4 linked regions of the Caenorhabditis elegans genome follow. The protein of the gene in region 2 interacts with the protein of the main gene of each other region in a pairwise test. Each region holds a gene or a part of one and is shown on either strand. Other genes may lie near its edges.

The links.
Region 1: the proteins of ceh-40 (region 2) and inso-1 interact in a two-hybrid assay, tested with the Caenorhabditis elegans proteins (one large-scale study listed by BioGRID).
Region 3: the proteins of ceh-40 (region 2) and tbx-9 interact in a two-hybrid assay, tested with the Caenorhabditis elegans proteins (one large-scale study listed by BioGRID).
Region 4: the proteins of ceh-40 (region 2) and hlh-26 interact in a two-hybrid assay, tested with the Caenorhabditis elegans proteins (one large-scale study listed by BioGRID).

The regions. Positions count from the first base shown.
Region 1 is NC_003284.9:1,298,624-1,303,193, reverse strand, and holds the start of inso-1 (BTB domain-containing protein), read right to left. Parts: upstream 3,046-4,570; 5' UTR 2,919-3,045; intron 1-2,918. Other genes in the region: dop-4 (Dopamine receptor 4), read right to left, coding at 4,536-4,570.
Region 2 is NC_003284.9:12,317,609-12,322,642, forward strand, and holds ceh-40 (Homeobox protein ceh-40), read right to left. Parts: upstream 3,170-5,034; 5' UTR 3,093-3,169; coding exon 3,001-3,092; intron 2,332-3,000; coding exon 2,052-2,331; intron 2,009-2,051; coding exon 1,934-2,008; intron 1,889-1,933; coding exon 1,637-1,888; intron 1,159-1,636; coding exon 916-1,158; intron 680-915; coding exon 632-679; 3' UTR 518-631; downstream 1-517. Other genes in the region: xtr-2 (MX region of TRA-2 Related), read left to right, coding at 1-65; F17A2.13 (uncharacterized protein), read left to right, coding at 4,058-4,769, 4,914-5,034. UniProt on the Caenorhabditis elegans protein: Plays a role in regulating gene expression in dopaminergic neurons, acting redundantly with homeobox protein ceh-20 in head neurons.
Region 3 is NC_003281.10:10,339,462-10,343,616, forward strand, and holds tbx-9 (T-box transcription factor tbx-9), read right to left. Parts: upstream 2,398-4,155; 5' UTR 2,391-2,397; coding exon 2,098-2,390; intron 1,673-2,097; coding exon 1,597-1,672; intron 1,540-1,596; coding exon 1,387-1,539; intron 961-1,386; coding exon 604-960; 3' UTR 545-603; downstream 1-544. UniProt on the Caenorhabditis elegans protein: Transcription factor. Involved in the control of early morphogenesis of the intestine, hypodermis and body-wall muscle. Involved in regulating expression of vab-7. Appears to have partially redundant function to tbx-8.
Region 4 is NC_003280.10:5,532,309-5,535,721, reverse strand, and holds hlh-26 (Helix-loop-helix protein 26), read left to right. Parts: upstream 1-1,979; 5' UTR 1,980-1,999; coding exon 2,000-2,148; intron 2,149-2,209; coding exon 2,210-2,416; intron 2,417-2,466; coding exon 2,467-2,743; 3' UTR 2,744-2,883; downstream 2,884-3,413. Other genes in the region: hlh-25 (Helix-loop-helix protein 25), read right to left, coding at 38-268, 325-482. UniProt on the Caenorhabditis elegans protein: As a homodimer binds DNA via the E-box sequence 5'-CACGTG-3'. Represses lag-2 transcription during embryogenesis via Notch signaling, in an unc-37-dependent manner. Also represses tbx-37 independent of Notch signaling.

The sequences.
Region 1 (4,570 bases), about 11 Mb from region 2:
TTAAAATAAAATTCAACAAAATTATCTCATTAGACTCCGCCCATTTATTGGCTTTGGTGTGATTAATTGAACAAAAACTGAACAGGAACGGATGCAGCAATATTGAATTCGAGAAAAAAATACCACAAAATGGTAGAAAAAAAATGGGAAAAATTATTTCATGTTTTTTCGAGTAGGTTTTTTAAAAGTTATTTTATTTTATCAGTTTTAACAGGCTACCAAATTATAAATAATTATTACATACTGTTACTCAAAATATAATGCTCTATAATAAATTTTTCAAAGTTTGAATTTTTTTAAAAAGAAAATATTATTTTACGCTTTTTTTTCAACTGGAATAGGTATATAGTTCAATTTTCAGGAAATATTGTAAATTAAAAAATAAGCAAATTTAATTTTTTCTCAATTAAATATAATTTTAGTTATTGTATATATATATATGTGAAATTGAAAACTTCAAAGTTGTATTCAAAGAAAAAACTGCAAATTTTAAATTCATAAGAATAAAACGCTGTTATTGAAAACCTAAAAACCAGAAAATTCCAGCCAAGCTCCGAATGACAAAAAAAAGAATCAATAGACAAGACAATCGTACTAGCACTGCACACCCGCCAACCACTTGACCATATGGTCAGTTACTGCGTAAGGATCCGAGAGAGCACACAGAAGGAAGAGGGCGAGCAGAGATATGAAGCGGGAAATGGGGGGAACTAGTCCACGGCCATAGGGTGCCCGGCGATGCTGCTGCTGCTTCGGTTGGGGGAGAGCTGGGAGACGCAGAGTATATATGTAGGCTTAAGAAAATGAAACAGTGAGGGGGTAAGGAACAACCAAGTGCGAGTGTGTGTTTGTGCATGAATGTGCTCCCCCCGTCTTCTCTCACTTGCTCTCTCCCCCCATGTTTCCAAAAAAATAATGGAATAGCTTTAGGAGGTTCTACATTGCAATTGACATTTTTTCATTAAATTTTTTTTGGGATTTGTTCGAGGAATTCTCTAGTACTGAAGATTACTATTTTAGCTCTTTAAGAAATCTACATATTTAAAAATCTGAAATTTCTAAGGTTTTGAGCTGTTGCTGCCGGGATACATCGTTTGAATTAAATCATTTTGCGGATCACTTCCAAATGACAAAAACGAAAAAATTTCCAAAAATACTTCATATCCGGTCAGTACCAGGTCGGAACCAGAAAAGTGATGAAAATTTTCGGAACATTTGAATTGCTTAAATATTGATACACTTTGCACATTTTTTTTCTGTGATAAACGTGAAAATTCGAAATATAGTGCCTTTTTAATTTTTCGCGGATTTGCCAACCTACGAATTTTAGTTTTTCGGTTATTTAGAAATTTATTAAAGTGAAAATATAAAACTATAATTTTTTCAGTTAAAACATTTTCAGACTTTTCAAACGTAAATTACCAGATAACTGCCATGTTTTTTGGAAAAAATAATTTCAAATCAGAAATGTGATGAAAAGTTTTAGAAAATTTAAGTTTTTATTCGGCGAAAAGCTTTTTTTTTTTTAAATTTAAAAAAAAAGCAGTTTCTTTTGAGTTTTCAGGCTGTAAAGTTTAGTTTTTTTCAGAAGCCAAATTATAATTTTGTAGAAAGTTGAAGTTTTAGTTTTCAGACAAAAGTAGAATATTTATTTGGAAAAAAAAGGTTCCACATTTTTTCGAAGTAAATTTTTCAAACCTTTTAGATGTGAAATTTATAGTTTTTTATGCGTAACCTTAGTTTCGAACCTAATTTCAATTACTTAATTTTTTTTTCGAGCCCGCAACTATTTATAACTTTTAGATTTTTTCAAAGTGTAATATATTCCAACTAAAAATACTTCTTTCTTTTTTCACCTAATTTTTTATTATTTGTTCAATTAAATTCCATAAATCTAAACCGGTAACAAATAGTCATGCTTTACATATATCAGAAACAAAGTGAAAAACAAACTATAAAAACTTACATACAAATCATGAACTAGAAAAAAAGGAAATTTATTGAAAAAAGCAAGATGCAGAAGGGGATAGAAATTGACATTTCGAAAAAGAGCAACATTTGGAGGGAAACATGACAAAACATGACAAATCAAAAAAAATATTCGACTTGAAATTAATTCTAACTGCATACTGACACTGTTGATTGGCAATAATTAAATATGAAACTTTAGGTTTTCTAACAACTATTTTTGAGGCAAGTAAAAGTTCTCCAAAAACTAATGTTTGCAGATTTTTAATAATATTCATGTTGTTTACGTGTAAGCTCAAAATGTTCAATTTATAAAATTATATTATCTAATAAAAACGAAAGGCCCTTAGAACACCATGTGGGTGAGATATATATACCATACGCTATCCTTACAGTCTCATTTTTTAGAGACAACAATTGAAATGTGCCTTCAATTTTAATAAATTTCATTGGCTCACAATTGCCGGTTTACTTGGAATATTTTGGAAAAAATTTAGTCAGAGAACAAACGGAGGGAACCTAGCCTAAGCCTGAGCCTAAGCCCAAGCTTAAGCCTAAGCCTAAGCCAAAGCCTTAGCCAAAGCATAAGCCTAAGTCAAGACCTAGGCTTTAGCCTAAGCCTAAACCTACGCTTAAGCCCAAGCCTGAGCTTTAGACTGAGCCTTAGCCTAAGCCTAAGCCTAAGTTTAAGATTATATAACTTTTTTAATTGGAAAAAATTCATTTAAATCATACATAATATGCAAAGTTATAAATAAAACTTTTTGAAGAATTTTTTGAAGGTATTACTTTAAAATTTATTTTTAAATTTATTCAACCTACTCACTATCAGATTGGTAGACAATGTACAACAAAAGGATACCAAAGAAAATCGATATGTAAAACTTTTTTACAAAAACCAGTTGTGCGAACAAAATCCGATAAAATTTCTGAAATTTGAAAGAACTTACCTGAAAATCGCACGCGGCCAGAGCAGCTGCTTTACCTCGTTAGCTAATTTTTTGGCGAAACGACGCCGACTGAAAATTCAAATCAGATGAATAAATTCAATATAATGAACCGAAAGGAAATCTCAGCTAATGAAGAAAATCTCGGTGCCCTGGAAAAGATGATTCATAGGCAGTTAAATGGACGTCTCTGTGAATGAGAGCGTAATTAATTTTCTTATCTTGGGTTTTGTTTAGTCAACCGCAAGATATGCACTTTTAGAGATGTCACGTCATGGCCTTTTTGGGGAGGAGGGGGGGGGGGCACTTGGAACCACTGGATCGGAAGGGGGCCCTTTTTGTAATATTATTTTGTCAGATTCGCTAAAAATCGTCAAAAACTAAGGAAGTAATTCTCAGCTTTTGTTATAGTTTTCATGCTTTATAGGATGTACTTGCATTTTCACCTGTTCTTGTTAATTATAATTAGCGGTCTGACTTCAGAACTCTGTATGTATTCCGGGCTCACCTGCCTAATAGAACACGGTGGTTCAGTTGCTAAATGGGTGCAAACGCGCTCCACCGAACAAACGTGCATAACTTGGCCAGGAAGTACAAAATCGAAAATTCATCACAAATAAAGATAGATAATTTCATTGCGGTCATTTCTTATATGCATCGCAAAATCGATTTTGTGATGGTTTTCGAGATAGTAGCCAATATAGGTTTCCAGACTGAGTATCATGAACCAATCCATCTAGTTTCTGTGCTACCGTGAGAACTATCCGGCACGTTAAGAAAAAAAATTAACTGTACACGAAGTCTTTGAACTATGAGAAGTTCGACCCTAAACGTTTACCTAATTCCTCAGTTTTTCACCATTTTCAAAGTCTGTAACATTGCTCCAAGAATGACTTTTTGCAGATTTTTTATGGTTTTTTTTTTATGTTCAGAAGATGAAAGCGGCTGAAGATTGTGAAAACTTTTTTTTAATTTTCAAAGGCTTTCAGAATGTTAACTATTATCGAAAAAATACGATAAAATTTTGCTTTTTTCTTTTTTCAAAAAGTTCAAATTTTTCTCATAATTTATTTTTGATCTACCTTGTTCACTAGGCTCTTCCTTTCTCTTCGTTAAGACAGCCACAACGAAATAACAACGGCAACAAATTTAGCGGCGGAGTCAAGTTCCAAAGGTAGATCAAATGTTAATTATGAGAAAAATTTGCGAGCGTATTTTTTTCGATGATAATTCTTAGGCACCTTTAAATAAATTCATGAAAAACTTTTGGAACAAGTGGTTTTTTTGCACATATTTAATGTTTTTCAGGATCTTTGAAACAAGGTAAACATTCTGGAAGATTTTGAAGATTTTAAAAGATTTTCCAAAATAAAAATTACTGAAAAAGGCAGGCAGGCACTTCTGTACCTACAAATAAGCCTTCTGCACTGTATTTCAGAAACTTCAAAAAAATATAAAGTTTATAAGCAACTCGAATTTAAATAATCTTGGCACGCTGAATTCAAAATACCAATTTCTAATTTTTAAATTTTTTTTCAGAGCGAGCTTCTGCTGTACTCCAAAAAACTGTTCATATTACAAATTGAAAAAAAATCAAAAATAAAAAATACAAAATAAAAACTATTCAATTGAAGTATTCGGCGGTTGCTCCCACA
Region 2 (5,034 bases):
GGACCGAGCGAACAGTTGATGTTCCTCCCGGAGTTCTTGTGCCCAATGGACCACGTAGGCAGTAATCAAAATATCAAAGTATTCAGCAAAATGTGGAAATGTTTAAATAGGATCATATCAGACCAAATCAATTCCCTATACTTCGGATCATTTTCAATACCTCTCCACTTCATGGTTGTCATAGATTTTCATTTCACCATTTTGTTTCTAACCGCTAGATAATATAATTTTACATTAGTTTCCAATTTCAGCATGTTATTTTCGCAGTTCCACCAAAATTTCATACTACTACTTGTTATGGATATAACTGGCCTGAGTTCTTAAAAACTTAATTAATTTCAACTTTTTTTTCAATATCACCACTTTCTCAACATTTTTAAAAACGCTTCAGGAAAATCTCCTGTTCTGTGAATAGTTATGTTGTTCTTGTTACCTCATTTATATTGTAAGCCCTTGTCTAAAAATTGTGATGTTGCATTTTGCAGCCAAAAACATTGGTCAGTATCAAATAAATTTCTTAAAAAAGTAATACATCTTATGGAACACAGGATGTATTTCAATGAATTTATTACTTTATAACATCATGGCAAATGTATGAATGAGTACTCAGTACCAGCATTATTAAAGTTTGTCATCGAGTTTGATTTGGGTTTTGTAGAGACTGTTGATATTGGGCCATCTGAAAATGAGAAAACTGTTTTTTTCGGAATATGCATGATTTCAAAATCTGGCAGTAAGAAAAAACCTAGTTTCTCAACTTTTCCAGCTGCTCGCAACTTGGAGTACATCGTTTCCAGAATTTGATGTATCCAAGAACGAGTTTTTTTTCAAGTTTAACAAAAATCCGGGTTTTGAAACAAACTACATATATTGCTCTATTTTTGCAAGTTCACAGTATTTGAAATGAAAACTTACCATCTCAGGATTGTACATGGAAAAATTGAAAGGGGCAACACCGATGGGAAATTGATGACCAGGTAACATCATCTGATATGGGTTCATCATTCCTGCAAACGCGTTGGGTACCAGACTATACGGAGCTCCAGGAGCTCCAGGCGGAGGGCGATCTTCTGGTTTTCTGTTTTCTCTTCTTTCATCCTCATTCTTAGCCATTGTTTTCTTGTAGCGAATTCGCTTATTTCCAAACCAGTTTGATACCTGAAAATAAACTGTAAACTACTGTAAGATTGTATGCAGATATCTGGGACTAAATTTTTTCAAATAGAGTGATAGAGTGTTAAGAAACACTGACAATATTGACAGTGACAAAAATAGTTTTTAAAAAAGTTGCATAATTTTTAGGTTCGTGTCTATAGAACAGCGATTATTTTATGTAACCACAATTATATTCCAAAGAATAATGAACTAGTTTTGCGTTTCTTTTAGAAAACCTTACTTCCCATTTTCTAGAAACTACTAAAGCATTCGTTAATTCTGAACACCGTTTCAACATTTCCTATTCAAAACTCCCGCGCAAATATTAATAGGAGACAGCTGACGCAAATGGTGATGATGGCGCATTTTAGCGAGCTTTTAATTTAGGCCTTATCAATATTATCTTCATGCAAATCGTAATATTCTTCAAAAGTTTTTTATGCATATTTTTTAGTATGTAATTTTGTATTTTCAATTTTACCTGAGCAACACTAATGTTACATTGCATAGCTAAGGCCTGTTTGACCTCTTCCGACGGGTATGGATGATTGATGTTTGCTAGGAAGTACTCGTTGAGAATCTCGGTGGAAGTTTTCGAGAAATTTCTTCTCTTTCGACGAGCATCCAGATAACGCTTTTTCAGTTGGATAACTTCTTCGCAGGCAGTCTGTTTTAGTACAAAACAGACCTTGTTAAATTTACCGGACATCTTGTTCATAAACTTTTCGGTTGACTGAAAAATTGGTTTAATCTTTTCACCGGTAGATTTATGGCTTACCTGTTGGGTGATTGGACGGAATTCTCCTTGTTGCTGGAGAACATCTTCAACGTACTCACACCACTTTTTGCAGTGCTGAAATTTGTATATTGGTTGGTGATATATGAGACGATCTTACCTTGTCAAACGCTTTTGTCTCATTTTCAAGCTCTCGTCTCACTTTCAAAAGTTGTTGACGATACTCGTATTGGTCAGTTCCAGCAGCTTCCTGAATACGCAACAAACTATCATCGGGTCCAGCAACTCCTTCTGCTTTGAGCATGGTATCCAGCCGTTCATCATTCTCTTGTGCTTCAAGATCCTTCATCATCTTTGTCGATAGGTCGATTTTGGACTTCTGCTCAACTAGAACATCTTGTACGGCTCGGTAGAATGGATTGATCTTGATTTGTGGTTTTCTGAAAAATTCATAAATACTTTTGACAATTTTTTATTTTTTATTTTCAGGAGGAAGTGAATATCCTCTTTTCTTTTTTGTATCTTGATAGTAATCTCTAGTGTTGGTTTTCATCTTATCGCAACTTCTCCATAAATGTATAGTTACCAAAACAATATTATGATAAATACTGAAGTTGAAAGAAAAACATAAGCACTCCAGCGGAGAGTTTGCTTAAGAAAGTTTTTCCAAAAAATAGTTTTCAAGAAGTTTGTGATGATAGTTGAACTAGAGCAATGTTTTAAGGAGCGGTACTGTTCAAATAAAGAAATTAGAGACAGGCTATTGCCTACAAAAGCTGATCAAAAAAATTAAACATTTGATGTTTTACGAAACTTTGCTTAAAAGCATATCTTGTCATTATTTTTTCTTGAGTCGTAAACTAATCAAAGTATTTTAAGTATGAATGAACATTTGTTATCAACATCTATAAACATTGACCAAAATTTTGAAACTTATTAATAATTTTGATTTGAATACTTATATCATCAACACGCCCATGAAACAATATTGAGAATTTTTATTATAGGAATATCAGAAAAAACAAGCGCAAACCATCACATAACGATTGTTGATTTTTTTTTTTGAAAACTTCGATTTATGGCAGCACATAAGCAAAAATCTAACTCACAATTTATTGACAGCTTCATTATCCATAGTCATGTCGGTAATTTTGACAACTTCTGACAGCAGATCCATAATCGATTTTGACGCCTCACTCATGTCTACAATAAACCAGAATTAATGATAAATGACAGGAAACGTATTGGAGATAAAATGTTGATGAGACGGACACATTAGCGAGAGGTGGGGTAAAAACGTAACGTTGTCAAGAATAAAGACAAATTGTGGTTGACAGACAGTATCGGTGCACGCAACGCAAGTGGTTGTAAATGATGTGCGCAGTTTGGGCGAGTCAATCGAATACTTTTTTGTGTGCAAGCGTTCGTTGCGTAATGAGCGCAACTGTGCGGTGAGATGGGAAGGTCAGCCGATATTCAGTCACGATATGAGTTGCAACAGATGCCGTTTCCCACATATTGGATTATTCGCCCATTGTTCTCCTCTTTCTTGCTCTTAATGTTGCCTAATCGTTTTTTTTTGTGTTCTCAATCTTACAAGTTAATGCATTTTTTATTGTTTTTTTCTCAGAAGCAAAGTTGCGTTATATAGTAACCAAATTTGAATTATGCTTTTTTTCAATTAAATCTGAAGATAGTGGACAGTCACTTTTTTGAAGAAGCCTGTAGAAACAACAGAACAAAATTAAATGGTGCAATTTTTTCTGATTTCACTGTTAAGCTGCAGTTTTTAGTTATTAGTTTTGCAGTCAACAAAGATTATCTGCCAAACTTGGAAGGGTGTCAATGTTCCCATTGCTACATGTTGTTTTCCTCTGACGATTTATGGGTTGAAGAGTCGGGAAAGGAGTGGGATGAGAGTCTAATGTCGCGTTAGCAATATCGATCGATATAAATAAGTGTAAAAATATCTAATTCCTCGTTTTCTTCATTTTGTATTTGAACGAATGGTCTTCTGTTTACACTCTCAATTATTCTCCGTCTCGAAAACAACTGTTTGGACTTTTTTTTTTCAATCTTACTCTTTTGTTCCACATTTTTTTAACGTTCTCAATTTTTCAACTGGTTATACAATACCTATAATTTTTTTTAAATTTCAGTACAACAATGTCGTGTTGCAATGACTTCTCCTACTCCAACGCTGGAATCTATAGGCAAGCGATGGAGGATATCATGTTTACCCCGAACAAAGATAAAAAGAAGTCAGCCTTTCATGATGAAACTTTAAATAGCCTCCGAAAAGTGAGCAGATTGGTGCAGAAGTTTGAAAGTGGCGGAACTGACGATGAGACTGTTGATGAGACCGAAAAAGAAGAGCAAGGAGAAGATGTGTGCGATGGTCCTGTGTTCAGGAAGGAGTCTTTTCTGAAACAGAGCCAAAATGAAGAAGAAGAAGAAAAGGCAGATGTTCAAGAAAATTTTGACGAGCAGGAGAATGCTAAAAATGAAAACGACGAGGTGTTCTATGAAAACGAGAACGAAGCAAAGGAACTAGTCGAGACCCCCATTCTCCGATCTTTGTCCCGCCAATTTTCTGGCCTAACGATTATCAAGTCTCACATCAAAAAAGACAATCTCGATGTGGAGAGTAGATCTCCAGCTCGTCGTGAGACGAGAATCATGTCAAGAAGAAAACAAGAATCGTCAGTGTCGTCATGCTCATCGGAGAGCTCTCATTGCTCCGCTTCATCGTCTCTCAGTAAGACGGAAAAACCAGAACCTGAGAATAGCAACTTCGTAAACGAACTGTACTACTGCAAATTGGCGAGATCTCAAGTTCACCACAAGTTTGAAGCATACTTCAAGTGGAAATCAGAGAGTAAGCATTTCTAAATTTTGAACATAAATTTTATTAGAGAAACTGATGTTTAATGGCAAGCGGAACTGTTTATCAACATGCAAGCAAAATTTATATTTCGTTTAGAGCAGTGTCTAATTATCACTAATATTGTTTAATTTTCAGCACTCCGATCAATTGCGGCATCGGTTTCACAGATGCGCTTGGACACATTGAATTCGATCATTGCACCACACGATGAACGCGTAAATGTTCTCAAGACAATCTATGAAAATTGCAAGAAGGG
Region 3 (4,155 bases), on a different chromosome or scaffold from region 2:
ATGAGAATGCGCAACATATTTGACCGCAAAATATCTCGTAGCGAAAACTACAGTAATTCTTCAAAAGACTACTGTAGCGCTTGTGTCGATTTACGAGCTCGATTTTTGAAATGAATCAGACTAGAAGAAAAGGAGGAAAATATTGAACATCAATTGAACATCAATTCAAAAAGTCGAACCCTTGACTACAGTAGTCTTCTAAAGAATTACTGTAGTTTTCGCTACGAGATATTTTGCGCGTCAAATATGTTGCGCAATACGCATCCTCAGAATTGTGTGTTCTCGTAATGTCTTGAAAATTTTCCATTTCAACATCAAATAAGCAAATCTAAAAATGTGGGTTCTGCAGCGACCACTATGACTGTGATCGTGGCAAGACCCACTCAGAAAACTACGTGTTCCTTTAAACAATACATTTTTAAGTATTGTAGGTATAAAAATTGTTGGCTAGCAGTCTAGGCTGCCTTTTTCAGTCGACAAACTTCTAATTTAATCGGCGGGTCTTCAAAAAGTCGTTTCTTTGAAAATATAAAGCTTTATATATTTATATATTAAAAATTTTGATTACATGATATCAAAAGCGACCAGTTTGCATAAAAATTATCAACCAACAATATCAATATCTTCTTCTACCTCCTGATCCTCCTCCTTCACAATGCTCAGCTCACTGCTCGAGCTGGAAGGAGTCGACGGGAGAGGCGAGAGAAATGGAAAAGCGAATGGAAATTGGACTGGAAGATTTTCAGATAACATATGGGGAAAATAAAAAAGAAATGGGTTGATTGGAGGCATCGACTGAAGAGGTGCGACCTCCGGTGGTGATCTGGATTTTGGCGATGGGGACTGTGAGTTGCTGCCGTCGGAATATGATGGTGATCTTCTCTTGCGACTCAAGTTCCCGTCACGGAAACCTTTGGCAAAACTGTTGTGCTTGATTTTCAAGTCGGTGATTTTTTGGTTCTGAAATGAGGAAAAATTAGGTTTATTATTCAACTCTCTCTATCTTTGAAAACAAAGAATCTATTAAGAAATTGTTAAACACCATATTATGGATCACAAAGCGAGCAATATTTTTGTAGTTGACAACTTTTATATAGCTCTTTTTATTGGCGAGGTAGGAGTGCTTAAAGTAGCGCAGTTTCAAATTTATAAATAGAGCCAAATTTTGAGCAAGTGTAACTCTCCTTCTTTTAACTCTATTAAAAACTTGTCAACTAACTAATTAATCTTTACAACTAGGGTTACAAATTATTAGTTAACGACTTCTTGATAAGTATGATGGTTGACAAGACTTCCCCCTTCCTTCCCAGATTTCCCATTGTTCACAAAATATTGATTCTTCCGAGATAAGATCCATGCGCTAATACTCTTACTCTCAATACTAACCTGGTAAGCCGTTACTGCAATAAACTCGGTATGAGGGAATTTGGCGGTGGCGACGATTTGGTTTGAGGATTGTGGGACGCAGAAAGGGCTCTCCGATGGAGACTCGTAGATTGTCAGCACTGGAATGTACTTGTGCATGCTGTTGAGGTAAATCTGAAATTTCAATTTTAAATTGGAAATTGCCAAGTAATTTTAAAGTTGAAATCCTACCATTGAAGCGTTGTTGGACTCTGAATAGTTGGAGATTTTCACACGATCAAAGCAAATCGAACTCCACATCCAGTCACTGAAATTAATTGGGGTTACTTTGAAGATATAAATTTAGCAAATTTAGAATTATTTTCATCTGAATTATGTTGTCAGTTGACAAACGACAAACTTTGAAAACTTTAATGTTAGATGAGATGTAACCCTCAAAATATTCCAAAGGCATTTGAATGCCAGTGTCGGCAGCTCTAACTCTTCAATGGCTCAAGCTAGAAAAAAGTTGTCAACTGGCAAATTGTAGATGATAAATCAGTTAACAATTTTCCAGTTAACATCTTTTTTAAAACTTCCAAGCCCGCTGAGATATGGCGCTTTGAAGTTGTAATACCAGGGCGGAGCTAAAAAAAGTTGCCAATTGACAAAATGGTTCTCACTATTTTGATAATCATGTCAGTTTACAAATCTTCATAGCTTCTAATCTTCCAATTCCTATGTCACACTCACCTTCCCTTCCGAACTCCATCAGCATGCCACATCTTCTTCGCGTCGACCTGCTTCTCAGCTTTGCCCGTTTCCTGCCACTTTCCACCGCTGAACTTGAATCGACTTTCTCCAACTGGTTGTAATTGGAGCATTATTGCATACAGCTTGTTTTCATCAAGCCCTTCGACTATATATTCCAACTTTGGGAACAACTTTCGGCCGTTCTTCGTGACAATCATCTCGTTGACTTCTGCGTGGAATATCTTCCAGAGAGTTTCTTGGGATCCTTCGATTGATACTTTGACTTTGGACATTTTTTGTCTGAAAACGTTAAAATATATTATGAAAACGAACAGCAAAAAAAAAGTTGGAAAATGGTATAAGATATAATGTTATATTCTCACCGGTTTGGCAGCTACACTTGCTTAGAGTGTGGTACCAGTGAGAAGGAGGAGCGGGAAAACTATTCTAACTTAAAAACGGTGGTATCTAGCAAAAAGTTGTTAACTAACAAAGCAACAATGATAAAATTTGCAATATTTTGTTAGTTGACAACTATTTGGTATCTCTTGCCAGTTTTGAGATAACGTCTGAGATATCCCCGCCGTTCAAAAATAAGAAAACAAAAAAATAGAAAAATAAGAAACACGATAAGATAGAGATGTCATCACAAAAAAATGGTGATTTAAGACAAAGAAGTGAGAAATTGTGCACATCTTCACCCCATCTCACCTCATTGCCAAACCACACCCCTCTGCAAGGGCGGGCAGGTTGTGCGCGTGGCCCTCTCGGCTATCGATTCTGGGAAGACTTGGCGGCTGACTGGTAGATCAAAAGAGTTGGGTATACTTTCAAAACAAAATTGGGAGATCAAATTCTGATGTGGCATAGAAATAGAGAAGACGGTCCGAAAATGTTGGTTTTATGTAAACTTCAAAAAATGTTCAAAATTTAAAGATGATACAACTTCCTTATTAATTAAAGAATTATGCTATGTATACCATGCTTATCGACAGTATGGATTTTGTATATTTTTACTTTGAGATCACTTTTCTCAAGAAAGAATGACAGTAAAAATTAATGTAAACTGAATTTTTTTGTACCATATAAAAACCGAAATTTGAAAAAAATAACTTTATTTAATGTTTCAAAATAAAGATTTTACCATTTTACATTTTCATACCTTCCACAATTACCCATTATTCCATCTTCAAACCCTCCTTCTATTTCCAGATAATATACCATTTCCAAGTATACCCCTTTTTTGTCGGTTACCTCCAAAAGAGCATACGTTGTAAAATTTTTGAGCCGGTTAGTTGTAGTGGGCTCTTTTGATAGAACACCGACAGTATTGACTGGAGGTGTAAAAATTGGTAGCTGAAGGAAAATGGATAAAAGAAAACATTGGTTAACGGATCAAAATTATTTTGCATTTTTAGACATAAAGTGATATTAAAAATTCGAATTTCATAACGAATGTTCTAAAACATTGCTCAAAAATATTAGGAAAAACTCTCCAAATTTTGCAGATCCATTAAAATTTCTGAGCAATTTTTGAGCAAACCTTTTAAGTCTATAAGTCAGGATAATTTTGATATATTCGTCTTCCCAAAAGCTATCAAAAAGATGTCAACTTTCAAAAAAAAACTCAATTTTTTTCCGGGGTCTAACTTTTTTGTGGATGCAGCTATCAAAAATTTGTCAACTAACTGATTGTTCATAATTTCCAGAGCTATATTTTGTCAGTTGGCAACTATTCGGTAAACTCGAAGCTTTTCGAGATAATCGTTTCCCAAATTGTTATCTGAACCCAAATTTCTCCGACCCCATTAGCCCCATTTTCCTAGAAAATAAGACTGATCTCCAAAACACCAAAAAAAAAGCTGTAAAACTTTACTCTTCCCAAAACTCTCCGAGTCGGTGTTTTTACGGGGGGTACCTCTAAATCAGGTGGTCGATAAACATCGTGGCGGATTTATAACCTCCACAATTGTTAGTTGGCGTCAATGGATATACAGGTGATAAGGTTTACAATCACTGATTAGTTGTTCTGAATTTTTTTTTCCCAGGAACACAAAA
Region 4 (3,413 bases), on a different chromosome or scaffold from region 2:
TTTTTTGAATTTTTATTAGCCATAATGAAACTCTTACCGTTGCTCGTAACTTCCCATTTGTTTGTTCAAAATGAAGAATTTCAATTCAGCATAACAGTCATCTTGTTTCTTTCTTCGAATCTTTTCACGTTCAGTCTTCACTTTTCTTCTTTCGGATTCAGTATCAAACTTCCGTCTTGTAGATTCGGAGAGGTCATTCGATGAGAAATTAGATTCCAGATTAACTCCAGTCACAAGTTTCACAATTCGGAAGAGAACTACTTCTTGTCTAAAAAATGAATTAGTTTAATAACTATTTTAAGCTAACAGAGTATTTAAACTTACGATATATGTTCTTCTTCTGATTTTTGAACAATCGTCTTGCATTCGTTAATCAACTCGTTTGTAATATTTCTTCTTTTCCGTTCAGAAGCTGATTTTGGAGTTTGATTGTATGGGACGGAACGATAATCGCTCATTGAAGACTGAATAACTTTTGGCATCTGAAATTTAATAATTTTCATTAATTTAAAATCAATAAGAAATGTAGAATTTATAAAAATTCAAGATGAGCCGTTAAAAAGGAATAATTGTGACAAAACAGATAAATGGGACCAAGAAAGCAGCACAAATTGATTTAGTTTAGTGAGATAACTCGTACTGTTTTTCTAGAAGTATACAGTTCACTGAATGCTTTAAAAGTAATTGATCAAAATCAGTACACTTTCCTGATGTTACAATTATCAAAAAGTATACTAAACCAGCAGACCAGTGATCCACTAAGAAAGTAAATGAACAATGAATAAATGGTTACCTTTTATAGTTCCATTATTGTTCAGAGGGTGGAGCTTTGTATCAAGCGTTTGGAGCCATGGGAATTATTCTGAAATCTCTATTTTTACAGTCCCCATCACGGGTTCCCATGGTTCATCAGTGAGGTTCTCATGAGAACGAGTCAGGACATCTCCAGTTTTGCCACGACTGGATATTGATTGGGTACAGCCTGGGAAATTTCGGCGGAGACTGTGAATTGACATTAACCATTTTTATCACTCATTTAATCAGCTTGCCTAATCATTATTTGTCTTTAATTCGCAAAGTTTCCAATATTCAAGATCTGATTCTAATAAAAATTACCAGATTGATGTATATGATAATGCATAGAACATACAACTACCAAATTTTACGGATTCATTCAGTTTATCACTCAAATATGGCAGTTTTTCATTTTCTGAAAATAATAAGCCAGTTTAATTTTAACATATAACCTTACTGATTTTGAGAACTCCGGTTTGCTGGAAATGCTCACACAGCAACAGAAAAAATTCACACCGGATACATGTAGGTGCCAAGTTATAAGAAAAGTGTCACACGCTGAGATGGAAACCTCGTAAATTAAAAATAAATTGAGATTTTTTTAAACTTGGATATTGTTTTTTAAAACATTTCTAGAACAGCTTGATATAAATATTTTAAACTATCATGTAAAGGAAAAATACTATAACCTAATTCATGTATTTGATTATTTGAGTTAATTAATATGCATTTTTATTTTAAATATTCTAAATTCTTCTTTTGTATTATATATTTACATTTTTAAATTCCATCGAGCTCCGATTTTACCAAATATTCATTTCAGGATTATTTTTTCCCACCAATCAATAACTTCGTTCAGGTTGTGACCCTTCGCATTGCTTGGGTTCTCAGGCTGCCACGGCAAGAACTGGAGATGTGGTACTCGATGCACCATGAGAACCACGCGTAATAAAGGTATGGATATCAGATTCCCATGATATTCCAAACGATGAGAATCCCCGCCTATTGAAGAAAAAACTCGAACATATAATGGAAGGTAGTCATTATGTTTTTGCATACTTGAACTGTAAGGTTGGTTCTTTTCAACGTTTTCATAAGTCTTTAATTTGAACTGCCTTTCATATTTTGTAGTCTCCCTATTACGGTTTTTGTCTAATAATCTTTTGTTAACTATTATTATTATATTTCAGATCCTTGACTCATAATGTCTTCCTCTCCAACTTCGTCATCATCTGGGTCCCCTTCTTCACATGGACATCGATCTGAAACAGAAAAACAAAGAAGAGATGATACTAATGATCTGTTGAATGAATTCAAGAAAATCGTTCAAAAATCGGAATCTGAAAAACTTTCGTAAGTTTTCTACTATTTTATTTAAAAAAAAAAAACGTACTCTCAACTAATGTCTATTCAGAAAAGAAGAGGTTCTATTTCGTATTGTGAAATTGTTATCTGGTATTCAACTTCATCACGAATCGTTTTCAACATCGCCTGGACCAATTAGAAGTATTAAAAAGATTAAAAGCGATCGGGAACAAGTTCGCCGAAATAAGAGAGTTGCCGCGTACAGAGAGCTCAGAAAATTTATTGCATTGAATAATTTGAGTAGCTCAGAAGAAATGTAGGTTTTAGATTTTATTGGCCATAAATTAAAAAACACGTATTTTTCAGAGACAAAATGGAGAATTTGAAGGTTCTAGAAATCATCTTTGAAGTGATTCGTGGAAAGTCGATCACATGTACAGTACCTTGCCTACCATTTCCAATACTTCCTTTTCTCCCAGTATTCCCAGTTTATTCGCCATTAGTTTTCAATTCATACAATCAATTTTCACTTTATCCTCCTCACATGCCTACAGTTCAGATTCCTATTGTCCCAAGTTCCAGCTTCGAAATTGACGCTCTGGAAATAGAAGAAAATGAGAAAGATATCGATATTGTTGGCTGAAGAGATTCAGCTGAAAATCGTATTGGTCTCCAATTTTTTTCAACAGTTTTCAACATTATTTAGACATCTTTTGCATCCCGATTCATTGAAAATTAATAAATTTAAAAAAGTAACATCAAGATAATAAATTCAAGTTTAACACACAGCAATATTGAGATTTTCAGCACAGTGTGCATGATAATTTGAACAGATGCGTAGCAATTGGAGAAAAATTATAGAACTGAATTGCGTTCTTACCAGGACTGTGCGGCAACCGAGATTTAAAGAAATTTCGGCAACCGGCAATTGCCAAAGTTGCCGAACGCTGAAAACTTCGGCAGCCAGCAACTTCCGGTTGCCGGAACTTCGGAAACTTTTCGGCAACCAGGTTTCAAAGTTTTTTTTGTCGAAATTAAATTTTTGAGCGTTTTGGAAAAATGTATGGTCGTTTTTTTCGTTTACAGTGAAATTCTAGCTTTTTCAGGCTCTCTGCATGTTTTTTTTTGAGTTACAAAATGTTTGACGTTGATATGGACAGTTGCCAAAGTGCCGAAAAAAGTTCGGCAACCGGCAACTTGGTTTACGAACCCTGAAAAATAAAGAAACTGTGAAAGAAAATTCAAAAAATGTCAGCACAACTATTAAAAATAAACACTTGGAACACGTGTTCAATTTCTTTGAATTGAAAATA